Elephas maximus indicus: one gene and its partner. The protein of the gene in region 1 purifies or fractionates together with the protein of each later gene. This does not show direct contact. Links are inferred from orthologs where the notes say so. Each region holds a gene or a part of one and is shown in the gene's direction. Other genes may lie near its edges.

What was found. The genes of interacting proteins can lie anywhere in the genome.
Region 2: the proteins of SART3 (region 1) and LSM8 purify together in Homo sapiens (affinity purification with mass spectrometry; 4 studies listed by BioGRID and IntAct, counting the BioPlex papers as one, with this or other methods). This does not show direct contact. The link is inferred for Elephas maximus indicus from reciprocal best matches to the Homo sapiens genes SART3 and LSM8.

The regions. Positions count from the first base shown.
Region 1 is NC_064840.1:19,108,669-19,116,658, reverse strand, and holds the start of SART3 (squamous cell carcinoma antigen recognized by T-cells 3), read left to right. Parts: upstream 1-3,742; 5' UTR 3,743-3,753; coding exon 3,754-4,080; intron 4,081-7,990. Other genes in the region: iron-sulfur cluster assembly enzyme ISCU, read right to left, coding at 1-104, 1,834-1,947. UniProt on the Homo sapiens protein: U6 snRNP-binding protein that functions as a recycling factor of the splicing machinery. Promotes the initial reassembly of U4 and U6 snRNPs following their ejection from the spliceosome during its maturation.
Region 2 is NC_064826.1:31,451,598-31,459,587, reverse strand, and holds the start of LSM8 (LSM8 homolog, U6 small nuclear RNA associated), read left to right. Parts: upstream 1-2,839; 5' UTR 2,840-2,950; coding exon 2,951-2,981; intron 2,982-4,111; coding exon 4,112-4,152; intron 4,153-7,351; coding exon 7,352-7,479; intron 7,480-7,990. UniProt on the Homo sapiens protein: Plays a role in pre-mRNA splicing as component of the U4/U6-U5 tri-snRNP complex that is involved in spliceosome assembly, and as component of the precatalytic spliceosome (spliceosome B complex).

The DNA.
Region 1 (7,990 bases):
ATTACATCACCACAAGCTGGAGCCCCTACCAGTCCAGTTCCGACATTTTTAGACGTCTTGTCGAGGGACCCCACATTTCTAGGATTTTCATAATGATCAACAACCTGAAATGAGAAGGGTAAGAGAAATCAAGACCACTCTCTTTTTGGTACCGGTCCCCTCAACTTGACTGTCAGCTCCTCCAAGTCAGTGACCGAATCTTACCAGCCCATGTTCTCTGAGCCTGGCATAGGGCCTGCAACCGGAAGCTGGCAGGCAATCAGCAAACACCAAGAGTCACCTGGGGAGAAAGGCCTACATTCGTGTCAGTGAGAACCATTTGTTATCCAAAACCTTTTTGTATCTCCTCTCCAACTACCTTCAGACACTGTTTGAGATCCTGGAGAAAAATCAGCTAAATTATGTCTTAGTCCCAGGAGGTTTTTAGTCACAAACCAAGTCACGAGACTTGGGCTCACACAGCATTTCTATTATTTCCAAATAAAGTCAATTTTCAAAAGATAATGATCTAAAAAAAAAAAAGGTTACTATAAACAAATTCTTAAAATAATTACGAAAGCATTCCCAGAAGGTTCAAGATGACTCTTGTCGAAAGAAGAATGCTATGGAATGTGGCCATCTATGTACGATTTTTTAAAAAATAAAGTCTCATTACTGTATTTCATGGCCCTGAAATAACACTGGTTCAGCAGCGCGCCCTAGTGGCTGAAAGGCTGCTAGCCCAAGTTCAGTCACCATGGGCTGTCAACAAAACCTCTCCCTGGGTCTAGGAGAGTGCCCTAGCCCTTGACAAACGTGGTGAAGCCAGAACAGTATAAATACCCATTCAGTCCGACACAGTAGGCTTTAGTAATCTTGAGGCTTGTTTCCCAGCTAGCACAGCAGTAACTATCCTGATCTTCCAGTCTCCTCCCCTTTGCCTATACAACCACTGATTTTGACTCTAAGCCCAAGGACCCACAAGATAAAATCCACTCTGGACTTCTGCCCCATGTTGATTTCCAGCGATCTTTAGTTGTTTCCCGAGCAGAAGAGTCTCATCTTTAGGGGACGTTAAGCTTCCAGAAGGCAAGGGCTGCAATCTACGCACGCACACCACCCCCCAACAGAAAAAAACAAAGACAAGGACATTGTGACTGATTGTTGGTCATGTGCCTGACTCCACTACGAGGCTATGGGCTCCACAAGCAGATAGATCTTGGTCATCGCTGTGAGGTCCGCCATAGCGCTTGAGATCATTTTATTAAAATACTAATAGCAGCAGCATCATCGATGGTCTCCGTGTGTTGGGCCTATGTGCCAGGTACCATGCAGAGAACTCTACACGCATTCTCTCTTGTAGGAAGGGACTGCTAAGATTCCCAACTTACAAATGAAAAGAATGAGGTCCAGCGAGGGGCAGTGACTTGCCCAAGGTCACTTAGCCAGGGCAGTGGCCTGGCTGAAGAGGAGCTCGTGCCCTAGCGTCAGGCTGACAAGTCATAACAGGTCCAAGAACTCAGAAGAGTCCTGTTAGGGAAGTTTAAGGGCTGTGACGCACAAAATAGCAACGAGCAGTAAGGCCCTTTGGAAGTCGCCACTCGACAAGCAGCGGCTATTACTTTTATTTCCATTGCGAAACGAGAGAAAGTTAGTTGAGGCAAAGGTGTGGGAGGAGACAGTCCCTCCACCCAGGGCCGGGGGATCCCCGGACCTCGGGCTGCAGGAAGCTCCAGGCCGCGCAGTCCCCCGGTCGCCGGCCCCAACCCGATCCTCCCCCACGCCTCCGGACACCTTCGTCTCCTCGGCGATCCTCGCCCGTTCGTCCCCCGCGCACCCTATGCTTGCCCCTACCTTCTTGTGATAAAGCCGGGCCGGGGCCGACAGCTCCCGGGGTGGCAGGCGAGGACTCCGGAGCAGCAGGGCCGACGCCGCCCGGCGCAGCCGACCCGCTCCAGCCGCCGCCATCTTGCGGGGTCGCGCCTGCGCCAGCCAAGAGCGAGGCCGGGGGCGTGGCTCGCCCTGCAGCGAGCGACGGGCTTCGCTTAGGGCGCGCCCCCTCTTACGTCACCGCGCCTTCGCGCCTGCGCCCTTCGGCCCCGTGCGGTTCGTGCTTTGTCCCCACCTTGACCACACCTCTCCGGGGGCTGGCGGGGCTGGGAGCGGGAAGGTCCAAGTACCACGAAAGCGAGTCCTAGGTGCTGCGTTCTGGATGGGAAAGGACCTAAAGCTGGGGTGAGGGACCCGACTTAATGCAGCACACAAGGTCACCCAGTCCGCTCTCTCATCCTTTTTTGCAGCTAAGGACGCTGAGGTTCGAGCGGTTTAATAACTTGTCTGAGGTCGCTTAGAGTTAGGTACAATTGGGATTCGAACAACCCTGGGTTAGAGTCCTGATTTTGCCCCTTCCTGGTTGTCACCCTGGAAACCCTGGTGGCGTAGTGGTTAAGTGCTACGGATGCTAATCAAAGGGCCGGCAGTTCGAATCCACCAGGCGCTCTTCGGTTCTGCTCTGTCTTATAGGGTCCCTATGAGTCAGAATCGACTCGACGGCACTGGGTCTGGTTTTTTTGGTTTTTGGTTGTCACCCTAGACGAATGACATCAGCTCTCTAAGCGTCTCTTTTTTTTTTTTTTTTTTGCATTAATTCAAATAAAATTGTTTCGCCCATTCAGCAAATATGTATTGAGCACCTCCTACTTGTCAAGGCGTTATACTAGTCTCTGGCGAGCCAACGAAAAGCAAAACAAATGTAATTTCTGTCCCAACTAAGCTTACTAACGAGGGAGAAAGGCAATAAAGAAACAATAGTTTCCTAGCTCAAAAATGGGAGTTTAAGGAGGAAATGAACACCATGCCCTGAATTAAAAAAGTATATACCTATTTAAAAATATTCTTTATCTATTTCTCTCTATACAACAGTAAACTATCAAAATTTATATGGTAATACTTGACAGTTAAGAGTTTCTAAATAAATGCTTAGGAAATAATTCATATTGATTTGCAGAATATCTTATAAAACCGGAAAACTCATGTGTGCGTTTAACACCTACTAGGCACCGGTCCTATCAGGTGCCAGCCGGAAACCCTGGTGGTGTAGTGGCTAAGTGCTATCTATGGCTGCTAACCATAAGGTCTGCAGTTCGAATCCACCAGGTGTTCTTCGGGAACTTTATGGGGCAGTTCTATTCTGTCCTCTAGGGTCGCTGTGAGTCAGAATCCACTCGGTAAAGGGCTTGGTTTTGGATTAGGCACCAGTCCTTACATAATGAGAGGAATCTCTTTGGGAAATGAATTTTTCTCATAAATAGCGCAATCGATCCTTCTCCAAGGACTTGGAGTTTTCACTACGTTTGTGTCTCGGTTGCTGAGGTGACTGAACCACGCGCCAGGTCACAAGAGGCATTAATGCATATATTCGAGGAGTCCCTTTGACCTTCTCAAAATGGCGTCAAAACCTTAACTACAGTCATCACGCTCATTTCATGACTTCCTCTATGCCCTCCACTTCCTGCCCAAAGACCCAACTTCTGTCCGAAGTTGTGGCGGAATATATGCCATGTTAAAGAATTGTTTTTCTGACAGGATCTTTTACAAATATGTAAAGTTAATATGAATGGCGTGTATTTAGAGATTTTCCCATCATCCGAAGCTCGCAGTTTCCCATTCGGTGGCCAGAGGGCGGGGTTTTGATCAGGCGTGCGCCGCGGGCAGCTTGTACTTCAGCCAGTCTTCGGCGGCGGAACGAAGGACCCAAGTCACTGGAGACTCAAGATGGCGACGGCAGCTGCATCCTCCGCTTCAGAGCCGGAGGCTGAGCCCAAGACTGCGCCCAAAGTTGGGCCCAAGGCCGAGGGAGACGAGGATGAGCTTAAGGAAACCAGGACGAGGAGGAAGGTGTTATCGCGGGCTGTGGCTGCTGCGTCGTACAAGACGGTGGGGCCAGCGTGGGATCCGCAGGAGGAAGGCGTGAGTGAGAGCGATGGAGATGAAGAGTACGCCATGGCTTCTTCAGCGGAGAGCTCCCCGGGGGAGTACGAGTGGGAGTACGACGAAGAGGAGGAGAAAAACCAGCTGGAGATCGAGCGGCTGGAGGAGCAGGTGGGCGCCGGGGTGGGCAGCGGGCTCCCTCCGCCTCCAGGCCCTAGCCCGCTCCTCTGCCCCTTGGAGCAGAGATGCTGCCCTGATCCTCAGCGGCAGTAAAGCCTCCAAGGCCGCAGAACCGTTACTTAACATTGCAATTTCCATTATTTGAGCGCTCGCTGCGTGCCCAGCGCTTTGCAAGCATTATTCCATTGAATACTCGCAGCGAACCAGTGAAGGCAGTAGCGTTGTCCCCGTTTCGTGGGAGGACACTGAGGCTCGTGGAGGGGAGTCTCTGGCTCAAGATTACACGTTCTGCAAGTAGCGAGTCAGGCTTTGAGCTTCGAACCGACTCCAGGACTCCCACTAACCACACAGTTAAACTACATCTAGCAGTAAAGTAAATTTTAATTGTAAGAGCACTATTTGTCTGTAGGAATGACGACGATGATGAAATATGTTGTAGTCGAATAAATATTGATCCGACGATGAAAATAGGAATGGAAAGATAGAGGCTACTCAGTTGGAGGCTCAAACCCCCGTTGTAGCTGTTCCACACCTGTATGTGCTTGGGCGAATTTCCTAAATTCTCTGATCCTTTGCTTTCTCATTTGTAAATTAAGAGCAGTGTTCTTGCATCATAAAATGGTCATAACAGTAATGTTAGCCCTGTGCCTAGCACCCACGAGGAACATGACCTCTAATGTGTAAAACAACCTTGTGAGATGTAGGTGGTGGTATCTTTTGGATAAGCCAGGATCCCAGCAGGAAATAGATGGTGCATTCAAATTAGGATAATTTAAGAAAAGGTTCATAAAGGGACTACTGTGTTTGTAAAGGCAAGTAAGAAGCAAAGGTTTAGTATTCCACAGTTGGTAACAACAGGACTTGGTGTCCACCTTTAGGCCTGAAGTAGTGTGAATAGTTGTGTGGGGTTGGCATCTGAGAGGAGCTGAGACCTTTGGTCAAAGGGTGCAGCCAGCGGTTTCCCAGTAGGGGAAGGAAGCAAGTGGAAGAAGAAAAACTCTTTTTATCTCCCTCACTTCCTCCAGATCTCTGCTAGTCTCCCACTGAGCAAACCCAACTGAAGGCCAGAGAGCCCAGTTGATGTGGATCACACAGGAAGGCACAGGGCAGGGAGGGGAGAGGAGGGTGGTGTGGAGTTGGAGGGGCAAACTGAAGAGATTGAGCACATTCTCATTTTACAGATGAGGAAAGGAAAGAGGCTCAGAACAAAAGATGAAATGATTTGCCTAGAGTCACTCACAGTGGGATTTGAACTCTTAAAGGTTGCCTGTGGACCAGATGCCACGTTGCATGTCCTGCTGGCACTGTTTTTAAGTTATGAGATAACGTCATGCGTTGGTATAACTTGTTGCATTTGTCATAGAATCTGATTTTTGAAGGAACCAGTTGGGATAGACAGGTGGTTACCATTTTTCTTTTATAAGTAAGTATGCTGAAGTTCATTCAGTCTTTTATTCATTCAGCAAGTACGGTGTGATACCTGCCAGACTGACTGTGTCCCTGTCTGTATGGAAATCAGTTCTTCATATTTCTAGCCTTAGGTCTTTTGATGAGCCATTAGCTCACTTTGACCTTAATGTTTTATGAGGTAGGGAAACTAGAATCATCTGTTTTAGTAGGAAGAGGAGGCTTGGAACCAGAGAGATGAAGTCCTTAATGAAAGTACATAGTTTACTTACTAAGGAGAAGGAGGCGACAGGATGGAGGTCGGCATGAAGGTCTCCTGGCTACTATACAATTGCCTGTCCTGCCTCGGGTCACCGAGGATGGGTGGGATAGAGCTCAGAAGGTGACCACATAGGATGGGACCTGGCAAGCGATGGTGAGCTGAAGGACTTCTGGCCTTATCCTCTTTGTCCTGAGGTCTAGAAATTGACTTTTCCAATTTTTCCAGACCTCCTTCCTAACCTCCTCCTAACCCCGCAGTCTGTAGTTCCTGCTGTAACTGTCCTTATGATGGAGCGTAACGATAAGTAACTTTCCAACAGGCCTGTGGAAACCTGGCCCTGCCATTTTTGGAAGCTCGGAACACATCCACATGTGTTTATTTCCTTCTTTTTGCTTGTTTAGGATTGTTTTGTTCTTTTCTAGTTTCTCGATGCAGGAACCTAGATTATTGATTGAGACCTCCCCTCTTTCCTAGAATGAGCATTTAAGTCTATAAATTTCCGTCTCAGCGCTGCTTTAGTTGCATCCCACTTGTCTTGCTGTGTTCTGTTTTCATGTCCATTCAGTTCTAAATATTTTTTAAAAAACATTTCTTTGAGACTTCGTGTTTGATCCATATTGTTTAGAAGTGTATTCTTAATTCCAAATGTTTAGAGGTTTTTCTGTTGGCTTTGCAATTGATACCTAGTTTGATTCTCTTGTGGTCAGAAAGCATACTCTGTATGATTTCAGTTTTTTTAGATTTGTTGAGGTTTCTGTTTCGGCCCAAGAGAGGGTAAATGTTCCGTGGAGACTTGAGAAGGTATGTTGTGCTACCGTTGGCTGAGGTGTTGTGTGTGTGTCAGTTAGGTCCTGTCGGTCGATGATATTGTTGAGCTCTCCTGTGTCCTCGATGGTTTCCTTTATAGTAGTTGTGTCAGTTGCCAGGAGTCCCTGGGTGGTGTAAACAGTCAATGTGCTTGGCCGCTAACTAAAACGTGGGAGGTTGGAGTCCACCCAGAGGGGCCTTGGGGGAAAGCCCTGGCGAGCTACTTCCAAAAAATCAGTCATTGAAAATCCCGTGGAGCAGAGTTCTACCCTGACACACGTGGGGTTGCCATGGATTGCAGTCAGCTCGGTGGCAGTTGGTGCTGGAATCGCTTGCTGAGAGGAGGGTGTCGAAGTCTTCAGATATGATTGTGAGTGTGTTTATTTCTCCTCTCAGCTCTGTCGGTTTTTGCTTCATGTATTTTGAAGCTCTGTGGCTCTGTTGTGTACGGTCGCCATTGGTTTTTTTTTGGTTGGCGCATACATGTTTAGGATCGATGGGTCTTTTTGGTGAGTTGATCCTTTTATTATTATGTAAGGTTTCTTTTTGTCTCTAGTAATTTTCTTTGCTCTGAAGTCCACTCTATGTAATATTAATATAGCCGTTTCTGCTTTTTTTGGATTAGTATTTGCTTGGTGTATCTTTTTCTATGCTTTTTTTCAACCTACCTATATCGTTGGATTCGAAGTGAGTTTCTTCTGATTAGCGTGTAGTTGGGTCATGTTTTTTATCCACTTTACCGTTCTCTGCCTTTTAATTAGTGTGTTTAGACCATCTACATTTCAGGTAATATCCAAATGTCAGGCCTTAAACCATTTTATTTGTTTTCTATTTATTTCCCCTGTTTCTCATTCTTTTTTTCTTTTCTTGCCTTCCTGTGCATTATGTCAACATTTTTTAGGCTTCCATCTTGATTCATTTATAGTACCTCTGAAGTTTTTACTTTGTATAGTTTTTTGGGTGTTACAGTATATATATTTCACTTACCACAATCTGCTGGCGTCAACCACTTCGAGTGAGGTACAGAAACCCAACTTGGCTTTGGATCCCTTTACCTTCCCCATTTTTAAATATCATTGTCTGCGTATCAGATGATCTTATAATTTTTGCTTTAGTTATTCCTTATGGTCATCTTTTGTGCTTACTCATATTTCATCTCTTTCCATTGATCCTCCTCCTTTCCTAGTGCTTGACGGTTTCTTATTTTATCATTTCTTTTAGCTGTTCTTTAAGAAGTCTGCTAGTTTTCTGTTTCAGGTATGTAATTGCTTTTTGTGTGTGGAGTAAATAAATATACATGTAACAAAACATTTGACTTTGCAACAGTCTTCACGTGTGCAGTTCAGTGCCGTTATGTTCCTTATTTTGTTCAACCATCGCCCTTAATGTGTCCCCAGGTTACACCATCGCCCTTAACAGAGCTCG
Region 2 (7,990 bases), on another chromosome or scaffold:
CACCAAAAGAAATGGAAAGAAGGAACAAGAGCTCAGGGGGCTGGCCACTGTGGGCGGGGGGAATCCATGCGGCCCAGGGCCAAAGCAGTTGCCTCCTGCCAAAAAACTGCGCCTGGGAGTAAGGGGGCGGGGGGAGCGGGGGAAGGGTGGGCGTTAGGAAAGCGTATGTTGTTTGTTACCGGGTACTCTGTCTCCTGCTGGGAACTTCGTGAAGATGCTTTCTCATACTCCCTGCCCACGGATCTCTGATAAAGGTGGGGTGAACCCAAGTGGCCCGGATGCGGCACTCCCCAGCCAGCCAAGCCACCGCAGCCAGCCAGGAAGCTTGGAGGTAGGGCAGTGGGGAGAGGATGTGGGGGTGGGAAAGAGTGTATCGCTGGTTATCGGGTTTTCTGTCTGCTGCTAGGAGCTCTGTGAAGCTGCACTGCCGTACTGCCTGTCCGGCAATCCCTGACAGGAGTCCAAGATGGCGGATCTGTGCTGTGTTAGCTGATAGGGAACCTTCCAGGTATCTCTCCTCAGTTTCTTATTCCATTCGGTGTTTGGCTGAGTTCTTTATGTCTTCATTTGACACTTCAGGTTCCAGCAATGATGTCTGTCTCTGTTTTACTTAGTTTTTTGGGTCTTTGTTGTGGGGAGGGGTGGCCTGGTGCTTCTACCTATGGTGCCATGTTGGCTGCAAGTCAAGAGTGATGCATAAGGCTAATTTAGATAAAATATTTATGTACTGTTTGCATCTACATATAACTCATTTGTAAAGTCTCAATAAATGGGCATTTCTTTACCCATAGGCTTTCTCTCCACATGTATGATCATAGGGAGCTACAGAAAATGTAGCAGTTACAAGACACGTGTAAAAAATTTTCAGATAAATTTCCTGATGCTCCATAAACATGGCACATCTGTTATTTATCTGGCATATTAATTTAGTGAAAACTGCACAAGATCATAGACTTAAAATGTAATGTGTTTATGATTAAATTAATTCTATAAATTACTATATGGTGTTAATAAATGTCAAAACATAAGCAACACTCCAGGGGATGAGAAGTTCCATGCATTATTCATTTTAAAAAGGTGGGATATAGTTTATTTTTTAAAAACTCCTTAATCATACTTCAATAACTAGTAGTTCTTCATTTTTCTTTTAATTTGATGCCTAACATTTGCAAATCACACAATATCTTCATTTTTTATTTATGGATGATACATTTTTCCCCCCTAGAAAATACAGGAATATTCACTACGTAATTCCTGACTGTATGTGGTTTCAAACAGGTCAGAGTAAGTTTCAGTTTATAAAATATTAACCATTGGGGAGTGATTTGTAGGTAAGTTTGTGGGTATGCTCTAATGAAAACAGATGCTTGACTTTTCAGAGGAAAATTGCTCATTTCGCAAGAGTTATTTCACATTTATACTTCTTCAGTTAAGAAATCACAAGCCTAACTGAAATCAAAAAGATATTTTGTGAAAAGGGGAAAGAGCTCCCACTGGTGTTTTGTGTATTGATCCTTTTCTAATTTCAAGCCCTTCTGAGAGCACCACAGTATAATAAAATGGAAAGAATTATGTTTCCCATTATCATCCTGAAATATTCAAAATGAAAGCTGTGGAAGGATCTAACATCATTACTTTATAGTGTTACTATATAGTGTTAAGGAGCCCCTGGTTGCGCAGTGGTTAAGCGCTTGGCTGCAGAATTACTGCTCTGTGGAAGAAAGATGTGGCAGTGTGCAAATGTGGAAGGAACTCACCAGCCTCGGATGATGATGTGGCAGTCTGTAGATGTGGCAGTCGGCTTCCGTAGGATTTACAGCATTGGAAGCCCTATGACACAGTTCTACTCTGTCCTACAGGGCAGCTACGAGTTGGAACTGACTCCACGGCAGTTAGTCTTTATGTAGTGTTAATAAACATTTTCAAAACATAAGCACATTTCAAGGGATGAAAAGCTCCATGCATTATTCATTTTAAAAGGTGGCGCATGGTATATTTTTGAAAAACTATTTAATAATGATACCTCATAATGATGAGGAAACAGGTCCAGAAGAGCTGAAGTGACTTGTATAAGGACACACAATTCAGTAGCAGAGCCAGGACTAGAACCCAATTTGGTGCACATTTATAATATACCTCTTTTCTTGACTAGTCTTCATTGGTGGTGCGGACTTGCCTTTTATTTAGTCATTTTATCCTGAGGACAGGGAGACCTCCTGGCTTGCTAGAAGCTTAAACATTTATTTCCTAGGAGTTGCTCACACACGTTCACTTGTTTGGATTCAGTTTGTTAAAGTGAATCACGATGCCTCCAATGGAGTTCTTAGAGGCACATGGAGAATATGTGAACATGCTTTTTCTTATCGTCTTCTCCAGAGATGTACAACATTATGGCTCCAACGTGTGCAACTTTTTCTTGGTCCATTTATCTTTTTTTATATTTCATTTTAAGTCCGTGCTGCAGAAATCAGCTAGGGATCCCAATTCCCCGTACCCCTATTTCTTAAGACAACAGCACTTACCTATCTTCTTCATTTACACTCAAAACATCGTATTTCGTTCTCTCCCGCCTTTCCTGTCTTTTCTAATAGTTTTTCCTAGTAACTTCTACCACACTACCTTTCACTCCTGACTCCCTCTTACCCCGCCTACAGGCACCTGCCTTTTTTCCGCCTCCTGTTTGCTTTTGTCTCCCGTGGCTTCCGGGATCGCCGCCCGGAAGAACCACGGAAACACACTGCGCACGCGCACCAGTTCGTCACAGCTCCTGCTCTCTGATATGCGGCCCAGTTTCTGTCAATTTCTGACCCACGGCAAATACGGCGCCAGCAACTCTCGCGATATTTGCTGCCGTCAGTGGGCGCGAGCCGCGGCCAGTTGGTGGCGGGCATTTTTGGCTTCTGCTGTTGCTGGAGCTGCCGTGTAGCCCGGAGTTCCTGGGCCAGACATCATGACGTCCGCTTTGGAGAACTACATTAACCGTATCCTCCGGAGGCCGCCGCGGCGAGGCACGTGTCCGCACCGGAGTGGTGTCGGGGCTTGAGAGGCCGGGGTTCGGGATTCCTGGTGGGTTGGGACGCCTGGCTACTACGGGGCCCCGGGTGCCGGTGAGGGGGATAAGGACCCGCGACCAGCCAGTCTTGCGCTGGGGCTCGAGCCCGCCGCTCCTGCCTCGAGTCCGAGGTGTGTTTTAATTCCGGCCTAAAGTAAAGTAAATCCAGTGTAATTATCCTGAACTTTTCTCTGCCTCTATAGAATTCCGCTATTGATTCAGCCTTATTATTCCCCCAGGGCCCACACGTTCAAGTTTCAAATAAGGTGAGCGGTTGTCATAGTGGCGACGAGGGTCTTGTAAATCTGTGCACTTGTTTTATTGACAGGCATGCTCATTGTTGAGATAGCAGAAGTTTAAAGATGGTCCATAAATTGAATTTCTGCTGCTTTACCACTTGAAGGCTCATCTTCCTTGTTGCTAGGATGGAAACAATGCTTGCTTTTTCAATGAATTGTCCTCATGGTCCGAAACTCGTAAAGAACCAGATACAAATGTTACTGTTTTAATGTCTCAGGACAGAAACAGCACATCGTGTATTCATGCACAAATTGTGAACAGAAGTTAAATACTGAAGGCTTTTAATGATGCAAGCCTATTGGTGTCTTATGACATTGGTTATAGTATCCTTTGTATTCCAGAAACCTGGAAGACAGTGTCTTAACATGCTTGAAATTGACTGATTTAGCAGCCATACAATTTTTATTCTACAAATGAAGAAATAGGGCTAAGAAAGTGGGGAATGTCTTGTTCAAAATTGAAATTTCCCAGTAAAAGCGAATACCAAATACCCCAGCTGTTTTGAGATGCTTATCACATAGAAAAAGGAATTTTCTTTTTCTGTTACTTTTGTGTGTGTGTGTGTGTAGTTATCTCGAAGACAGGATTGAAAAAAAGCTACAGATTTTAAGTCCTTAATGTTGTGTATTTAATGGCCATGTTGAATAGTTATTTTTAATTCTGTCGCCCTTTTCTTAGTAATTGGAACTGTGCGTTTACCAGATTCTAAGTTTTCGGTTAGCATTTCCTAAGAAATGCTTTCCTTGATTCAGTTATCAGGAACTGTTGCTGTTATTACATCCGATGGGAGAATGATTGTGGTAAGTATGCAGCATTTTCATTCTCTGCCTTGTAAACTATTGGTAGTAAAATAATTTTTATGTGGAACCTCTGACATCTAATGTGTAGGAACCAGAGTATACCTGCATTGCACTTTTCTTATGATCTAACTCTTTGCCCTGATGTCTTTGATAAATAGCTGCTCATCTGTATTTTTTTTCCGTTAATAAACATCGAGTGCGCATTACCTACTAGCTTCTACTAGGACCTAGGATGAATCGATTCTTCCCATCAGGGAGCTTCTAGTCTAGTATGCAGATGTCTATATGTATCTTATGGTCACATATTTGTCTTGTTCTTCGATATTTTATTTCCTTCCCGTTCAGAGCTTGGACAGCTGCCATGTGAATCAAAAGTTTTTTGAAATTTTGTGTATACTTAGAAGTTGTTCTTTTTATGACTTAGATACTACATATATACAGCATAATGAACATTTAAGGCTTGTTTGTGTAGCCTATAACTATTCCTAGGTTATATAACCTATTTTCTGTAGGACGATATATGACTGACTATTTCATCTTATTTATGCTTTTGTCACAATATTGTTGTTAGGTGCTGTGGAGTTGATTTTTGACTCATAGTGACCCCATGTGACAGAGCAGAAGTGCCCATAGGGTTTAATCTTCATGGAATCTTTATGAAAGCAGGCCACCAGGTCTTTTCTCCTACAGAGCGGCTGGGTGGGTTAGGACAGCCAACCTTTCAGTTAGCAGCCAAGCACTTAACTGTTGTGGCACCAGGGTTCCTTTTTGTCACAATAACCTCTTTTCATTCTAGAAAAATCTTGGATTCTCTCCTTGATCTGATTCTGGAAAACATTCCTCAGTTGCTAATTTAACTCGTATAACAAAGCTATAACTTTCTTATGGCTGATGTTGATTTTTGGAATTTGATTTGAGGAATTTATCCCATGATACTTGGCTACTTAATTATTTTATCTTCATTTATAATTGATACTGTGTTTGCTTTCAAAAAGGTTGTAAGTCTGCTAACCTTTCTCCAAGGAGCCCTGGTGGCACAGTGGTTAAGTGCTTGCCTGCTAACTGAAAGGTTGGTGGTTCAAACCCACCAGCCACTCCATGGGAGAAGGATGTGGCAGTCTGCTACCGTAAAGATTACAGCCTTGGAAATCTTATGGGGCAGTTCTACTCTGCCCTATAGGGTCTGTATGAGTCGGAATCTACTAGACTGCAACAGGTTTGGGTTTGGTGTAACCTTTTCTCTATTTTCTAACCTTTTCTAATTTACTTCATATAATTTAACCCCTTATTTTCTTGTTCTGCGGTCTCATTTTTGTTTCTGTGTTTAATCCATATGATTTTTTCTCAGTGGGTCATTAAGTGACTATCACTAGTCAAAGTGCTAGACTTCACCACTTATTAAATGTGTATTATGTTCCAGGCACTTTACATAGGTTATGTTATTTAATCTTCAGTACAACCCTGTGAAGAATTATTGCTGCTTTATGCTAGGTTAGGAACCAAGCTAAGAAAAGGTAAGTTAGTTTCCCAGAGTCACATAGATAATAAGTGGTAGAACCAAACTGGGATTTAAGTTTAGTCTGACTCCAAAGTCAAGGACAGTTGGCATATTTTCTTTACCAAGGGAACAATCCTGGTTTTCTTAGGCATGCTGTATTGTATATTTTGTCAAATAAAGGCCATTTGAAGTATTTTAATCTCATCATTGCCCTTCAGGAAACCTATTGCAATTAACAAATATTTGCAATTAATTTTTTATTTTATGAAAACCTCAAGTTTAAGTGTTTCTAATTTTGTTAACAGAGTAGACAATAAATTGGAAAATTATTTTCATTTTATAAAAGGAAAGCTATAAAGAGCATCTTGAGTACTAAATTTCAGTAGTCCTGTATTTAACACATGGTTTTACTTGATGGAATAATTAAATGTAAAACCAAACCAAGAAGTTATGTATGGGTATTTGTGATATTTTTGATAACACCTATTTGCCAACTAAACCAGAAAATGCAAACCCGTTGCCATCGAGTGGATTCTGACTCAGCGACAGTATAGAACTACCCCTTAGGATTTGTAAGGAGCTGCTGGTGGATTTAAGGGTGAACTGCCGACCTTTTGGTTAGCAGCCGAGCTGTTAAGAACTGCTGTGCCACCAGGGCTCCATTCTCTAGTATAGTTCAATACTCCATATTTTGTTTCTCTTCCATATTCTAGGTTATCATTTTCTCTTTATTTCATTTTGATTTTATGTATTTTGATTTTCAGAACATGAAACAGTTGAATAGTGAAACTTGAATAGCATGTGAATTACTCTGTTGTCCAAGGCCCTTGTCTTCCCCTGTTCACAATCAGCCTTTTTCCATAAAACTTTTCCCTGTTATTTCCATCAAGTTCTGGTGCTTATCATTATAGTCATATTAGAATTTACCTTACTTGGTTATTGGGAGAATTATAAGGTAAATACATGTGAGGCACATAGAACACTCTGGGATATAGTAAGTATTCATTTACCATCAGTTGTAGTTTGTGTATATTTATGGGAGTGATTTGAATCTCTAAAAAACGGGAAATTATATTTGCATGTTTATAGCAGTATAATGGTTCAGCAATCTTCCTAGTAGCTTTGCTACGTACTCCCCATAAGACCTTGAGAGATTACTTAACCTCTCTGTGCCTCAGTTTTCTTTCTCTGAAATGGGGATAATTATATCTACCTCAAAGGGTAGAGATTAGCTGAGATAGTGAACACAATGTGTTTAGCCCAGGGCCTAGTACAGAGCATACAGTGATGTTGTTACTCTGCTGTAGCTGGTATATGTGAGACCCTCATTTATAAATCCTTTGCCCTTAAATTTTACTTGTTGTAGTGTGTGTCCTTAGAAAGTTAGCTCCTGGACTACATGGGCATTTACTCTACTTCTTTGAGATGATCACACTGGTACGTAGTATCCTTAGTAACTCTCAGTAGCTCTGCTTATCAGTCATATGTGTGGTGGTGTTTTTTTCCCCCTCTCTTAACAACCAAGAGGTGTGTTTTATGCCCTGTTGGCTATAAAAAAGATATGTTATTTTACAGTGGGTATATATTTAAAATGGATACTTCTGTTGGGTTGCCTGACAACTAAAATGGTTGTATGGTTGAATTTTGTACATTTAAATAAATCAGATTTTTTTTTTTTTCTTTTGGCTGTTTTCTTCATAGGGAACTCTGAAAGGTTTTGACCAAACCATTAATTTGATTTTGGATGAAAGTCATGAACGAGTATTCAGCTCTTCACAGGGAGTAGAACAAGTGGTATTAGGATTATACATCGTAAGAGGTGACAATGTGTAAGTAAAGTATACCCTTTTAAGGCAGGTTAAAATTATTAAGTGTACTGCCTTGCTATATGCAGAGATTTTTTGGAAATAAAGTCTTTCAAGCATAGTTTATAGACTCATATTCATTTGTATTGTAAATATGATTTTTCTTATATTTGCTTAAAATAAGGCAAATCTATACATTTCGTGTTACTATTCTTCAAGAACCAACCAAAGTCTTCTCTTTATTGACTGAGATTTGTCTGTATTTCTAATTGTTAAGAGGCCTGAATACAGTCCAGAATGGTCCTGCCTTATACCAAATGCTCCTTCAAAGAGAGTTCTTAAAATGTTCTTCTAAAGTATCCCTAATTTCAGAGGAACATAAATATACTTTTGGAATCCAAGGATAGAATTTGACAAAATGTCTTTGCAATCTTGTTTGAACAAACTTAAATAGTTCATGCTCTTTAACATAAGTACATATCCATTATTTGTCTTTAAAAAATTTTTTTTGTTGTTTTGTGCCATGTTTATCCTG